3 linked regions of the Neodiprion lecontei genome follow. The main gene of each other region encodes a partner of the protein of the gene in region 2 in a complex. Links are inferred from orthologs where the notes say so. Each region holds a gene or a part of one and is shown on either strand. Other genes may lie near its edges. The genes, in order: eukaryotic translation initiation factor 3 subunit H, eukaryotic translation initiation factor 3 subunit J and eukaryotic translation initiation factor 3 subunit M.

Region 1 (3,617 bases), on a different chromosome or scaffold from region 2:
AGCCATTCGTTGAAAGCACGGCTGCAACTTTGAAAGTGAAGCATACGGTAACCTGACATTACCAACAAAGGAATTAGAAGCTGTTCTGCGGAATTACCGATGCCAAGCAGAATTGTAACGCTGCATTATGCGCCTATATACTATGTACCGATTTTGCATGCGAAAATTAAGAGCATGTATATATACATATATATATATATATATATTTAATTCCAATAACGGTTGATGGAAGACTTCCGGGGAAGAAAATTGCACCATTCTGCTATGAGGATTCTATTTTATACTGGCCCAAACTAGCCCAGACGTGGCAAACGATTGCAACAAAGACCAGGATCTTGCAGTCAAAATATTTATCGTTTCATATTTACTTATCAAATATACAAATAATAAATCAACACTGGCAATATTGTAAATTGATACCATAGATTGCACAAATTTTAAGAATAAGTATTGAAAAACCGTTTGGAATAATTTGAATACACTGTAATATAAAGAAAAAAGAAGAAATAATATTTAGTTTAGTAATTAGTCCAATCAATGGTTTGAAAGGAAAACAGTTTTATTGTTTTCAATTGGAATACAACGAGTCTCTGCACAATAAGCTACAGATTAATTGGTAGACTTGGATTCCTTGGCATTCTGTAGACTCTGGGTGATGTACAACTTTGCCAAACTTTGAGAACAGAACTGCGATATGTGCTGACTATAGGTGTTTATCTGTCCAGCAACGATCATGGGGTTCAGCCTGGGGGGAACAGGCAACGGCCTGAGCAGCTTGTTGATATCGTCATCGGGTAGAGGCGCCTCGTCCTTAGCAGCCCTGGCTGCGTTCTCCTGTGCCCGCTTTTGCATCAAACGATTCTTGTCTTGTTGCTGACGAATAACCAAATGCTGATGACGGTTGAACTTAATAGCTTCTTGGTTCAGCTCATCTACTCTGTCCATCAAGCACCTCAGCTGGTTTTCCAGGACCGTGGCGGTACCGAGGTCAAGATACTTGGTTCCTTCTTCTTCGGGAATCATTTCCTCTAGTTCAGACATCATGATGTTTGTAAGATTGCTGTTCTTTATGACAATCGGCACTTCGACGAATAGAGATTCGTAGCCAATTTTTAACGTGCGCAGCGCATCGGGCGTAAATTCTCCTTCCTTGTACATTTGGATCGCTTGTGGAGTCAAGCGATAAGCCTTTAGTGTCAAAAAGCCCCTAGCAGACTTGGCCGTGTCGTAAATAACCACCACTGACTCTTCGATGGATGTCTGATAGTGAAACTGCGATTCCAACAGAGGATGGCTCAGAAAGTTTCCAACGTCAGCGCTCTGGTACCAACCAACGTGAAAGTGGTCGACGTTCACTCTACGCAGCCTGCGCATCATGGCAAGTTGATATTCCTCTTCATCCATGGTTTCATCGTTCTTGGGAAACGGAAAGCAGTTGGTGATCTCCAGCCGATTGTTGACAACCAAACCAAGCAGAGCACCCTGAGCGACTTCCATGTTGCTCGTGGATTCTTCATGACAGTGTTTCACCATTTTCATCACTGCCAAACCGTCGGTCTGAACGTAATCTATCCGGGACTCCGTCTCCGGTATCCTCCTCGATTGCCCTCGCGTTGTCATTTTGTTCAATTAAAAAATCACCTCTCTTGTGCACGAAGCGTTGCAAATTTCAACCACTCAATTTAACAAAAACCGTGCTTGATAGATAGGCAGATGGAGGACGGTACTCAGCTAGGTTAGGAAGGAAGGAACGACGGAAACAGGGCACAGCCAAAACCACCGGACCCGGATCAAAAGGAAACGTCAGAAAATTTTCGAGCTGTGTACTAGCGTCCTCTGAGCCGACGGAGGTTTTTACAACTAATTTTCGATAGCGCGTACATACATACGTGTCTGTATTCAAACCGTATTTACCATCTCGAACGCAGTCGATAATATAGTGCATCAAAAGTATGCAAGCTAAATTAAGTTAGGTTAGGTTTGGTTAGACAAATCAGAATCTTCCTGCCCTTCCTGCCAATATACGTATATAAACGTCAGTAAACAGTGAAATGGTAATAAACGTCAAATGATTTAAAATTGAACATGAATAATTCAAAGAAAATAAACGTGAATTATTCATCATTAGTGGGTTTGAAAGCTGAGCTTCTGAGGAAACAAACCGAAGTTAAAGACGCGAAAGCAAATGCGGAAGTAACTTCTATACAGTCTAAGCACAAGGTTAGGACTAAAAAGTCCAAGACGAAAAAAGTAAAAATTGAAAAAGAACTAATTGACACCGACGATATAAAAGCTCACAAAAAGTCGAAGTTGATGCTCGAAGCAAAAGCTAGGCTTTACGAAAATTTGAAAAGGTCACACAGCAATAAAAACGAACATTTTCTGGTCGACTTTGGTAACAAACCACAGTCAGAAGATGAGAAATTCGATTCGGATGATTATGAAGATGCAAACTCTGACCCGGAAGAAGACTGGGTTGAATACGAAGACTGCTTTGGACGGACAAGGAAATGCCTCCGTAGAGATTTGTCGACAATGCAGAAAAAAGATGACTTTGTAAAGCACGAAGTCATGAAAAAGTCCCAAGGAGATACCGAAGTTGAGGATGTCAGGCCTCCAGATGTTGTCACACCTCCGAAAGAGCCAGAGATTGAAATAATGCGAAGAAAATGGGAGGAGCAAACGGAAAAGTTGACTGAGAAAATGAATATTCATTATCAAGACATTCTCTTTGACGAAGCGAGAGCCCACGGCGTTGGATACTACGAATTTTCCCAGGATGAAGAAATGCGAGCGAAGCAGCAAGCAAACTTGGATGCATTGAGAAAGGAAACCATACAAAAACAAAAGGAAATGCAAAATCTAAAGGAAATGAAAGACAAAATGGAACAGAACAGGCTAAAGGCGGCTAGAATACGACAGAGAATAAGGGCTGGACTGCCCCCTGAGCCCACGGACGAGGAACTCGTGAAAAATGATGAGGTGAATACAGACAAGATGGAAGTTAAAGCAGAAACTGAAGAGAAAGTCGAATCTGATGAGAGGAAAATAATTGAATATAGGAAAGAAAATTCACTTATCGAAATTGAGAACAAGATAAAAGCTTTTGGCGAACTGCTTGGTAAAAGAACACAGTGGTATGAGATGTCGCAAGAAGAATGGGTCTACAAGCGGAGAAAAGATAGAGATGAAGAATTTGCCCCCTTATACAATAATTTTAGAAGTTCCGGGTATTTAGAATCCAAGAATACCGATCAGGACAAGGATGAAAGCTCAGCATCGCTCGATGATAGCTTATCTGGTAAAAATGAGGAAACCTCCGAAAGTCCTGCTATTATCGAAGAATGTGGCACAAAGAAAACGGCCGATCAACTCGATGGCACGGATAATCAACAAAGTCATATTCCGCATTCTGAGACTTCTACAGAGTTATCACAGATTACCATGCCTAAGCAAGTGATTAGCAATGCTGACACAGAATCATCGGATAGTAGTGGTTCAGATGTAATCGGACCGATGCCACTATATACCGAATTACCCACACAGCATGTGAATTTTCAACAAACATTCGCTACCCTGCCAGAAAATATGAGAACAGAATTATCAGGCATTGATTT
Region 2 (6,085 bases):
CTATTTTAAAGGCCAATGACCATAGACATTTGTGCATTGGAGATACCATGACTGTATAAGATTTTCGTAGGAACAGTTCGTTGTAAACAGTAACTGCTGAGGTCCTAGAGCAAAGGCTGAGATTTATGCAGTCATTAAATCACTGTCATCAAAGAAGATGCAAAAATCAAATGAATTAACTAAACAGTTAATGTTGCTGACGCACTAAACCATGAGTACTTCCATTTTCTCAGATAGGACAAAAAATTCAAGGCTTCTTAACCCTCAGGAAACGTCCAATCCATTTTGGTTCCTCAAAATAATGACGACTTCTTTTTTTGTTTACAGTCGCACATTCGACTTGTGGAACATGTTTATTTCTGACACCACATCAAATTCACAGTGCTGAAAAATTGATTGTCTGAGATTGAACGTAAGAGAACTGGATGATAAATGTTGTAGGGTTTATCAAGTTTAATCGAAGTGAATTTTTCTGGTAATAAACAGCAAATGACGTTTCAACATTCGCATTTCAGTGATCCTTTATTACTTAATATATTCTTTTTAAAATCAACTTTGATTTATCAACCAATACGCACAATGTAAGTAGTTGTTATTAGTTATACAAAATTTATTAACATTGATTATTGCATTGCATGAAGAACTGCGGGTAGGAGAACAGACGTAAGTAATAGTTTTAATAGTATTTGAAATTGAATTAAAGTAGCGTGGTAACAATCAACTCATGGCTCTAAATTGTCATTTCTTTAATTTAGAGCAATTCTTAATATTCAAAGTTATCTAACTATATAGATATTTAAATTTGATATTGTAAAATCTGCACTAAACTGGCTTAATAGAAATAGCCACTGAACCAAAAAAAAATAATGACAACAAACTCTGGTTTCGATGTGATTTAATAATAATATTCAACATGTATAATAACGGGCATGGATCTACATGCCTTACAATCGTCATGTATTAGTACATTCATGTTGGAGCTGCATGTTTTTAGTTTTTTTGGCTGTCACTTTCTTACATTTTGTATAATAAATCTATTTTTTGTCTGTTTCCATGTATGCAGATTGTTGTTTTGTAACAGTAACTGACTTTCACTTACATCTCGGCGCTACATAAAATCATTAAATTCGTCATCAAAACCATAATCGCCATACTCATTTAGATGTGAATTATCACCCTCGACTCGTAGTTTTGCTTTGCCTTTACCCTTGTTCTTCTTACCCTTATCCCCTTTTTCAATCTTTTGTTTTTCGATAGCTAAATTTTCAATTGTCGTTTTCACTTTTTTCAAACTTGTCGAAGACACTGCAACAATTTTAATTTCAATTAAAAAAGAGTGCATATGATTGAGAAAGATAATATTCCATAAAGAGTAAGATACTAACAATTCACGGCAATGTTTTTAATGAACTCTTCGGCGAACGTGGTAAACTCAGCATGCTTGTTGAATTGGTTTATTTTCTTTAAAAGTGCTTCACTGAACTGGTCGAAATCTTCTTTTGTGTCAGGTGTCATAGAGTCAAGTCCTGTAGCAGCTTCAGGGTTCACACCTTAACATAAAAACGTGAGTTTCATAATAAATTAGATAACACTGGTAACTTGACAACAGCACATACAAATTTTTGACCTGTATCTTCAATTTTCGTGATAGCATTTTCTTTCCATCTTATACTTCTACCCAATCCAGTTAATAAGTAATTAGAAAATAATTTTAAGTTTCACAAGTGTATAAATACTTGATGGAACCTAAAACGGTTGTTATTAATTTAAAATAGGAGTTTCTTGTTATTGTTTAATACTTGCGCATTTTCGTTTTTAAAGATTTTAAGATAAACAAAAATTTGTGTAGCTAGAAGCCATACAATCTTCACCACACACCTTTAAAATGAGATACAAATAAGGAATACATTATCGAACAGCTCATCAGGAACAATACAGGAGATTAAAAACAGTATGCAAGGATGTATAAAGACTGACGTGGACACAACAGTTTGTTTGTGCAAAATATCAATTTTATTAAAATACATAACATTATTAAATTTCATTGTATTAAAATTGGTAATAAATCGTATGGATTTCGTTCATCTCTGGTACAGTTCCTGACAATTATAGGTTCATTAATGTAGCATTTCGAAACTTAATGTTGTTAGATAAAAAAAAAAATTAACGTTACTTTCACTTAATATTTCATTAATCTTAGGTGGAAATGTTTACGTGGTTATTTTCATCCTTAATACTGCGCTTTTCTACGTATGTTCAAGCAATGAAAAATAATGCAAAACGTATTCAGAATCACTAATTAAATTAGACTTCATCATTTTAACTTGAAATTTCAAGAAAAAACTACTTCGAAACAAAGAATCTGATTTATGATTAAGTTTATAGACTAATTTGATACAATTTCGTCAAGTTCATTGGCTCAGAATTCTATACCCCTCGAAAATCTATCACAATGTCTTAAGCTTGCCTAATCTCGCGGTAACCACACATGAGTCAAAGTATATCGAAAGAATTAAGCATCAGTCAAATTTGAATAATTGAGAATTTGAATCAGCTTCATCAATTATCTCAGGATTGAATTAAGTTTTATGTTATTTACGAAATATCGCCTCAAGGTTAATTCTAGTATTAAATTAATTATGGTATATTTCACTGTTATACGTTCACCAGAATTCATACGTGTCGGGGTTGTTGTAAGAATGTTTCGGTAAAAAAAAAAATATCTGTAGCAACACCAGAAAACTAAAATTATGTGCAACAGATAAATTTAATATCAATAAAAATAAAATTCCACAAATCTGACAATAATCTGAGATACAGCAGATTCGAATACAGGTAAAAATTAAAAGTGATAGATAGTACAAGTGGATTAATAATAATTATTATGATTGTGAGAATATTTGATAGCAGGGGAGAATTGTTATTTTTTTTCACTTTTTTGTGGTTTACGGGGGCTAAAGTCAACAAGGTTTGACAAACCAAATGTTTCCATGGCTAGTCGAAGATCCGCTTCTTCCTGAAGCCTCTGACGTCTCAACATTTCCGCTCTCCTTTCCTCAGGTGTTAAGGCCTCTTCCTTTTCCTTCGCCTTTCTTTCTGCTTCTTCTCGCGTCTTTTTCTAGATGTGAAGAAAATGATTTGTTTAAAATACTTTGTATCGTTTGATTGATACTCCCAATAGAGAATTTAAATACAGGATTCATCTACTATATCAGAAATATTTCTCAACAATCCTGTAAGATTTCAGTCAATTAAACCGATTAGCAAAGTTACTGTAGTGAATCTTTTATTAAGCGACTATGAATGAAAATAAAATAAGTACAATCATTTTTTAGTAATGGAGACGCTGACCTCACGCTCCTCGATTTTATCGGCCAATGTTTTTTTAGGTTTTGCTTTAGCCTTTGGCACCTCAGCAGCCTTTTCTACATCTTTTTTTTCCTCTTCCACATCTTCCCAACTATCCTAATAACGTCAATAAATATTAAGCAATTAAGTATGCGTCAATGAGATTATTGACATGAAGTGGTAATGGAAATGGGAAAGAAAAAAATATCATGTCAAAGACTTTGGAATAATATACACATCTTTTGAGAAAATGATGTTTAAAGAATAAAAGTGAATACATATTGATTTATTTGACACGGGCAAGATAGGTCGTCAATTTTCATAGAGAAAAGACACTCAAAAATTCCATGCGGTAATTAGGACAAGGTTATGAAAACTTGGTGGTGAAACATATGGAGGCAGAATGAAATTAATGAGAGTATTCGAATGTTTGTTAACTGAATATCACATTGTACTTCGATACCTTAACGTCTTCCTCTTCATCTTCGCCTTCCCATTTATTGGACCTCATTGCGAGGTCGAATTTGGCCTCAACATTATCCGCGTCTGCAATATGATACGATACGAAACGAGTTGTCAAAAATTAAGCCGAATCACGAGAAATTCATTTCCTTTGATCAAATGTATCGGCACAGAATATTTAATCATTTAAAATACATACCCCACTCGTCATCCATGATCTTGATTTTTATGAAATATCACTCAAATAGTCGGAAAAACCGTGCACGCAACAAAAATCAACGAGCCACGGCGGTGCACGGCGGGCCTTGTCCTTAATCTCATGGGGCGAATGATTCAACTGTTTACCGTTGCAGCTCTGGCTGTCCATTCGTCCTCTAAAAACTTGAACAAAGAGAAAGAGTATAGTACGGAGTGGAAGTTGACCGGATACAGTGAAAGAAGCGCCTCTACTGTCTCAAAACCCTAACTATTCTATCTCTTCTCTCTCTCTCTCTCTCTCTCTCTCTCTCTCTCTCTCGCCAATTCTTCTATGACCTTCGAGAATAGCGTGGCTGAGAAAAATTTTGAAAAATATACTTAGGCCGGTATTCATAGTCAGTGCTTAAGACCGGACTCGAATAAGACGGTCTTATACGAGGCCTTAAGATGGCGTTTGGTTCCATAGACGTCAAACAAGACGGTCTTGAGACGCGGCAAATAAGACGGTCTTCATCAAGTCGGTCTTATTCGAAGCGTGCTTACAAGGTTGCATAGTCCAGTCTTATTTGAAATAAGCATGGTCTTGAGCACGCAACGTTTCATAGTCAATTAACGCAGTCTTATTTACGTATCTTGATCAAGTCGAGTTCGGACTGCACTTAAGCAAATGCTTGTTGCCTAAATATTACTCAATTGTTCTGATGCGTACGAAATTGATAATTACGAATTGTTTGGAAAATATTATATTCGAACAATATAAATTAACAGGAATAGATTGTGAAGGAATGTTTGGGAAAGTGCAGCTGGGACGGGATTATTTACTGTAAAAGGGTAGCAACGGAAACTTGCAATTGAAGTAGAGGTTATGAGAGCATTCGCTTTGAAAAATTTGTGAAGTGAAGTGAATAGTGAAATTCTACTGACATGGCGAATATGCAAGATATGTTTAATTTCTACGATCAGATCGAAGAAATGAATAATATGATTGTTCAATGGTCAACGTTGGGCCGAATGACGAAGACGAGGGTGAAGTACAGCGAGCTCCGAAGAGATACATCAGAGATGGTCAAAACCCGTTCGAGTTTTATTCCGAGCAGGAGTTCAAACGGCGATTCCGATTTTCAAAGGATGGTATTATGTACGGAATACTACCTAGAATTGAAGCTGCCTTAGTCAGTGCCAATAATCGTGGTCTACCAATTCCACCTGTCATGCAATTATTAATATGTCTACGATTTTACGCTACCGCTAGCTTTCAAGTAAGGATCATTGTGATTATAATTCCTGACATTCTACTGAAAATATAAAGTGATTTCATTGCTTCCTGTGATCATGGAATAAATGATTGCTAATACATTTTGTACTGTACAGCTCGTCAACGGAGATCTGATGACTATATCGCAGTCTACAGTATCGAGGATAATACACAGAGTATCGGCTCAAATTGCATCATTGATTCACGCAATTATCAAATTTCCTAGTACGGAAGCTGCTATGATCGCAAACAGAGATCTATTCAGACAACTTGGTGCACGCAGGGAGGGTATCGGTTTACCTGGCGTTGATGGCGCTATCGACTGCACTCACATTCGATTATGTCATACGAAATTTGCAGACCTGCAGGAGGTTTATAGGAATCGTAAGGGATATTTTTCCCTCAATGTACAGGTATGTCGCGTTGGTGATAACCGTTTACAAATACCATAAGTTGCAATTAATTTTATCTAGGATACAAATAAACAATACTATTCTATGAAAATCGGTACTTTTAATTTAAATGATACCACAGGCAGTTATCGGACCCAATATGGAATTCTTGGATGTGGTTCCGGAATGGCCTGGAAGTAACCATGACAGTCAAATATTCCAAAATTCACGAATTTACATGCGGTATCATGAGAGACAACTTACTGGAACCCTGGTTGGAGATGCCGGCTATCCGTGCTTGCCATTTCTGCTGACTCCACTGGCAAATCCAATTACAGATGCTCAACAAAGGTAAGATAAAGATTATCGCATTACTTTAGATTTCGATAAGTAGTCATAAAATTGACAAAGTATACATGTGTGAATTAAC
Region 3 (5,065 bases), on a different chromosome or scaffold from region 2:
ATGATGATTATCCCGTTTATCAAAGCCACTCACATCAAAGTAAACAGAACCATTACTTTCGTATGCAAGATTATTAGCAATGATTTTTTTGATATAATCTATAATTTCAGGAATGTATTCACTAACTCTGGTCAGCACATTCGGTCGCAACACCTGGAAAATGTGCGATTTTTTAAGAGCGCTAGAATTATAATTAGAACTGCTTCTTTCCATTAATGTTAATATGTATCAAGGCTTACATTAAGGGCATCCATATCTTTGTGATACTCTGTCTCCCAGTACTGCGGAAGCTTGCTAAAGATGGAATTTTCAGTAACTGTAGATCCCTTTTCTCTATCAAGCCATTCAGCAAGAGGATCCCTGGCTTGGTTCAGTAAGGCCTGCAAAATCAATTCCGATATTCCATCTGGTTAGATCCCTGAGTAGTCAGCTCCATTTGATTGATGTAAAATTTACTCAATTTTTAATTAAAATGAATAAAAGTGTGAGGAATAATATCTTCCCTTACATTCTGGGACTCTTTCAACTTGACTTGGTCATTTTCTTTAACAGCCTTTTCAAGATCTTCCACTGCCATGGTAATTTTCTTCAGCATTGTTTCCATCATACGGGTCTTGTCGGGATCAGAGGTAGACCTGACTGTACCTTCAAATGCCGTCATCACCTTCTTCGCGTCATCCAGTACTTTGTCGAGATTGTGGTTTTCTTTGATGTACTCTTCGTACAAGTGGTTTTGTCTTGCTCTTTTTATAATTTTGTCATCAATATCGGTGATATTCATCACGTATAAGACATCATAGCCAAAGTAGTCGGAGAGTACACGTCGCAATATATCAAAAGATATATAAGACCTGAACATATGAAATTCAACATATTTGTTGGGAAAGCTTAAACCTGTTAATAGTTATTGATATTTGATAACACAATCTCTGACACTAACATTCTGTAAGCATATCAAATGTGAGCGAACAAAACAAAGATAAAATGTTTTTATTAACATTGCCCAATAATAATGCTGTCGATTGGAAGCTTCTTGTCTCAAAATATGTATGATCAACTTCTTTAACGACAGCAGAAATTTTTTTTCAATTAATGAAAATGAACAAAATGTAATAAACCAAGACCTCATTTTATTATCCTGCTAATACATGGTACTAATGAAATATTGGAAGAAAATTCAAGGGGAAGATGCATTCTAAATAAACAATAAGTATACCTAGCGTGGCCCATATGTGAAGCGTCGTACACCGTTGGACCGCAACTGTACCAGTAAACTCTATTCCCATTTTGAGGTATGAATTCCTCTTTTTGTCGAGTTAGACTATTGAAAAGTTTCAGAGTCAGACGAGATTTGGTATCTGGTGGACTCCATGACGGTTGCGAACGCTTGTTGTTAGACATATCGAAAGCCTGTTTGGAACGTATTATTTATAGAAAATAACGATCATTTGCGGTCAAATATTTTCAATTAAGAGAACAATTCAAGTGTTGAAATAAAACAAACCTGGTTTAGCAATGAAAGGTATTATATGTAAAAACAAATCTCAACTCACCGAAAAGACGAAACAAGAGATGAAGAATCGAATTTAAATAGTTCGTTAATTAGGAGTATAAATAAAGACCGCCCTGGTCTCAGCTCTGACTCACGCCTTAAAACGTCATTTACGACACAGGTAAAAATTCTCAAGTAACCGTGGCTCGTGCAGCGTGTACCAGCATTTCCTTCCTCTCCCTCTTAATGACCAACCGAGTGAAATTAGACCCGAGTTTTATTTCCGTTCGTCAGGATGACCACCCCGACACTGAGCACGTGAAACTGACAGCTGTCAAATGCGACCCGCAACATCCACATACTTATTTATGATGCAGTGATATTAGCGCAAAAGTGATCTAGAGTCAGTATTGTTTGCTCATCTTTTGAATTTATTCCCAAATTTTCGATCAAACGTGTACGGCGTCTACGATCAGTCATTGATCACTGAACCCCAATCGTTGGATTACGTGTCACCCGAATGTTTTTCTCACGTTTCTTAGCCTGGTCGGGCTGCCAGTGAGCAATCACCAAAGCATAGTGAGCGAGACCTTTTCGACGTGTTCGCTGCACGGAAACGTGGTTCGCAACATCTCAAAATGCAGGTTCCAGCGGTTTTTATGGATTTGCCCTTAGAGGACCAAGTAAGAAGATTTCATAATCATTTCCCGAGCTCTATTCCTTCGAATTAAGCTTAAATTTTGGCAACGTTACATATTAAAAAACTTATTCTGAAATTCTGTAATTCACTGACGGGCGTTTAGGCTTAGGTTAGGTTTACGTTCGTATGGACTTTCATTATTCAATCATTAACCAATCTTTCACTGTAACAGGCACAAGAATTAAGGGTATATTTCAAGAGTTTGGGCGCTGAAATAAGTGAGGAGAAATCACCGAGAGGAATCGAAGATGATTTGCATAAAATCATTGGCGTCTGCGACGCCTGTTTCAAGGAGGGAAATGAAACTGAGATTGAGACAATTCTAAACGATATAGTCTCCATCATGGTTCTGGTGAGTTGTCTGTGCGAATATCAAATCGCACCTTGACATTTGGATAACTTGTTCCAACGAATTTTCTTGCATTATTCCTTTACAGATTCCTATTGAACGTGCTGAAAATTTAATATTGGCATTCTGTGAAAAGTTGACAAAAGCTCCAGGTCAAAAACTAGGAGTTGTCTGTCTAAAGGCGTAAGCATTTTTAAAATTTGTTCCTTGGATATAAAATTAATCCTGTACATAACAAACCATGAAATCTAAAATCTAAACCTATCAAAAAAGTTCGCATTGTAATTATACCAGCCTTTGAATAAATTAATTAATTAAGTAGATAAATAATAAAGAATTTCGTGACTGAAACATTTAACGACTGACTGAAATTACATGCTTCGTTATAGGCTCTGGCTCCTGTTTCAATCCTTGGATGAAAAATCGCCCATGAGATATCATGTTTACTACCACCTGGTACAAATTTCACGCAATGTGGATCAAGTCAAAGCTGTGTATGGCGGAGTGGATCAACTGAAGGCACAATTTGCTCCGTGTCCACCATCCAATGAACAAATGCAGAAATTATATCGCCTCTTGCACGAAGTGTTACTCAGTTGTAAACAAAGGTAAAGAAACTGAAAAGCTAAAAATAATTAAAAGTCTTTCAATTATTCTAAAAACGTAATTCGTTAATTTTATACCACTGTTTCCGTACAGTAATTCATTTTTTGAACGATACCTTTCAGTGAACAAGCAGCTGCAGTGATGGTTGCCCTACTAGGTACATATACCGCTGAAAGTGCATCTGCTCCCAGAGAAGATGCCCAGCGTTGTATTTTGGCTGCGCTTGCCGACCCGAATACTTTCCTGCTGGATCCGCTGCTGGCTCTGAAACCTGTGAGATTTTTAGAAGGAGAGCTCATTCACGATTTACTTCTAGTTTTCGTCCAAGAAAAATTACCCGCATATCTTCAGTTTTACAAAAATCATAAAGAATTCGTCGAGCATATACTAGGTGTGTTATATGTACAAATTGAAATAGATTTACCAAGTTTCCAATATTTTCAGAAATCTTTAGAAAAATAACAAGCGATTCGCATTTTTTAAAAATTCACGTTATGCAGGATTGAACCACGAGCAGAACATTAAAAAGATGCGATTACTGACATTTATGCAGCTTGCTGAAACAAATCCTGAAATGTCATTCGACACTATTCAATCTGAACTGCAAATCGAGGAGAATGAAGTAGAAAGCTTTATAATCGATGGTAAGAGTTTCATGAATATTTAGATTGTTCAAATCCTTATCCCAAATCATATTACACACGCCTGATTTCTTATGCATGGGTATTTACGAAATGGGAAATATCAAATGAACCAGTACTGGCTCAGCAAAATCTAAATTGCTGTTGAGTTATCGAGTTGTTCAACAGAAACTATATTGGCGCACTAAGATAATCATCGTACAAATTACTGCGAACTACTCGTCTTATATCTTTGCTATGTGAGATCATTACTCAAGTTTTGACTTTTATAGTTTTGAAAACCAAACTGGTTCGAGCTCGAATGGATCAAGCTGGCCACAAAGTGCTCGTATCAAGCACAATGCATCGAACATTCGGCCGTGCTCAATGGACCCAACTAAGGGACCTATTGGCGGCATGGAAAACCAATCTTTCTGCAGTTCAGGAAGGCATGAAAACTGTTGCGGCAGCTCAAATCGAACTTGCGGCAAAAACAAAATGATCCGAATAGTAGCAAATACATTTCATTTCGATCCAGCTCACGATGACATATGGAAGTATATTTTACGTTCAATCACACATGAAACACTTTTACAACTTAAGTATTGCTGTGATTACTGTATTCCATTTTGACCGATAGTGGGCAATTATGTAAACCTTTTAAATTTGATTTATTCCTCATATTATTATAAAGAACTCAGTTACTCCAAACCATGTTACACAGATGTAATGAATGCAGTAGCTCCATTTTTTAACATTAAAAAACAAAATTATTGGAATACAAACCCAATTTCTATCAAAATACGTTCCATTAGCGTTCCATAACCAGTTACTCTGCTGTCATTAACTGATGCAACTGTTTTCCAGTGCGAAATATGGCGTAAATATACATACAACCAATTACCTTTGAATAAAAATCATCAACGTAACACTAAAACTGGGGTAATGTAATGTTCGTATATCCTTCTTAATATGATAAACCTTTTATACGGCACTTGATATAAGATTTCTCATTGCACATACATTAATTATTAGCCGCCTCCTATTAGTAGAGCAAGTAATATTCATCAAGACATTTATGATATCATCTGTAGTACCACTCGTCGGCATAATGGTAAAAACTTTACTGTCGACATAAGTTTCTCACAAATTCCTTAGTAGCTGTCTTTCAGGATTCATTTTAGAACACAATATTACATTTTCATTCACAAATATGGATTTGTAATTTTAAAAAGATATATTGAAAAACTAGTACCGAGTACTTGTAATGCAAAGAATTTGATGGAGTGTCCCCAAAC

Evidence for each region.
Region 1: eukaryotic translation initiation factor 3 subunit J (region 2) and eukaryotic translation initiation factor 3 subunit H share a complex: the UniProt entries of both Drosophila melanogaster proteins name them as parts of the eukaryotic translation initiation factor 3 (eIF-3) complex. The link is inferred for Neodiprion lecontei from reciprocal best matches to the Drosophila melanogaster genes eIF3j and eIF3h.
Region 3: eukaryotic translation initiation factor 3 subunit J (region 2) and eukaryotic translation initiation factor 3 subunit M share a complex: the UniProt entries of both Drosophila melanogaster proteins name them as parts of the eukaryotic translation initiation factor 3 (eIF-3) complex. The link is inferred for Neodiprion lecontei from reciprocal best matches to the Drosophila melanogaster genes eIF3j and eIF3m.

What each region holds. Positions count from the first base shown.
Region 1 is NC_060262.1:35,038,323-35,041,939, reverse strand, and holds eukaryotic translation initiation factor 3 subunit H, read right to left. Parts: upstream 1,811-3,617; 5' UTR 1,621-1,810; coding exon 610-1,620; 3' UTR 539-609; downstream 1-538. Other genes in the region: coiled-coil domain-containing protein 174, read left to right, coding at 2,086-3,617. UniProt on the Drosophila melanogaster protein: Component of the eukaryotic translation initiation factor 3 (eIF-3) complex, which is involved in protein synthesis of a specialized repertoire of mRNAs and, together with other initiation factors, stimulates binding of mRNA and methionyl-tRNAi to the 40S ribosome.
Region 2 is NC_060260.1:36,068,715-36,074,799, forward strand, and holds eukaryotic translation initiation factor 3 subunit J, read right to left. Parts: upstream 4,165-6,085; 5' UTR 4,026-4,164; coding exon 4,010-4,025; intron 3,895-4,009; coding exon 3,812-3,894; intron 3,466-3,811; coding exon 3,352-3,465; intron 3,119-3,351; coding exon 2,980-3,118; intron 1,551-2,979; coding exon 1,386-1,550; intron 1,306-1,385; coding exon 1,109-1,305; 3' UTR 504-1,108; downstream 1-503. Other genes in the region: putative nuclease HARBI1, read left to right, coding at 5,001-5,267, 5,380-5,676, 5,798-6,006. UniProt on the Drosophila melanogaster protein: Component of the eukaryotic translation initiation factor 3 (eIF-3) complex, which is involved in protein synthesis of a specialized repertoire of mRNAs and, together with other initiation factors, stimulates binding of mRNA and methionyl-tRNAi to the 40S ribosome.
Region 3 is NC_060265.1:2,938,314-2,943,378, reverse strand, and holds eukaryotic translation initiation factor 3 subunit M, read left to right. Parts: upstream 1-2,020; 5' UTR 2,021-2,130; coding exon 2,131-2,175; intron 2,176-2,364; coding exon 2,365-2,544; intron 2,545-2,629; coding exon 2,630-2,724; intron 2,725-2,930; coding exon 2,931-3,149; intron 3,150-3,269; coding exon 3,270-3,538; intron 3,539-3,647; coding exon 3,648-3,791; intron 3,792-4,060; coding exon 4,061-4,269; 3' UTR 4,270-4,557; downstream 4,558-5,065. Other genes in the region: cysteine--tRNA ligase, cytoplasmic, read right to left, coding at 1-153, 240-380, 509-851, 1,217-1,401. UniProt on the Drosophila melanogaster protein: Component of the eukaryotic translation initiation factor 3 (eIF-3) complex, which is involved in protein synthesis of a specialized repertoire of mRNAs and, together with other initiation factors, stimulates binding of mRNA and methionyl-tRNAi to the 40S ribosome.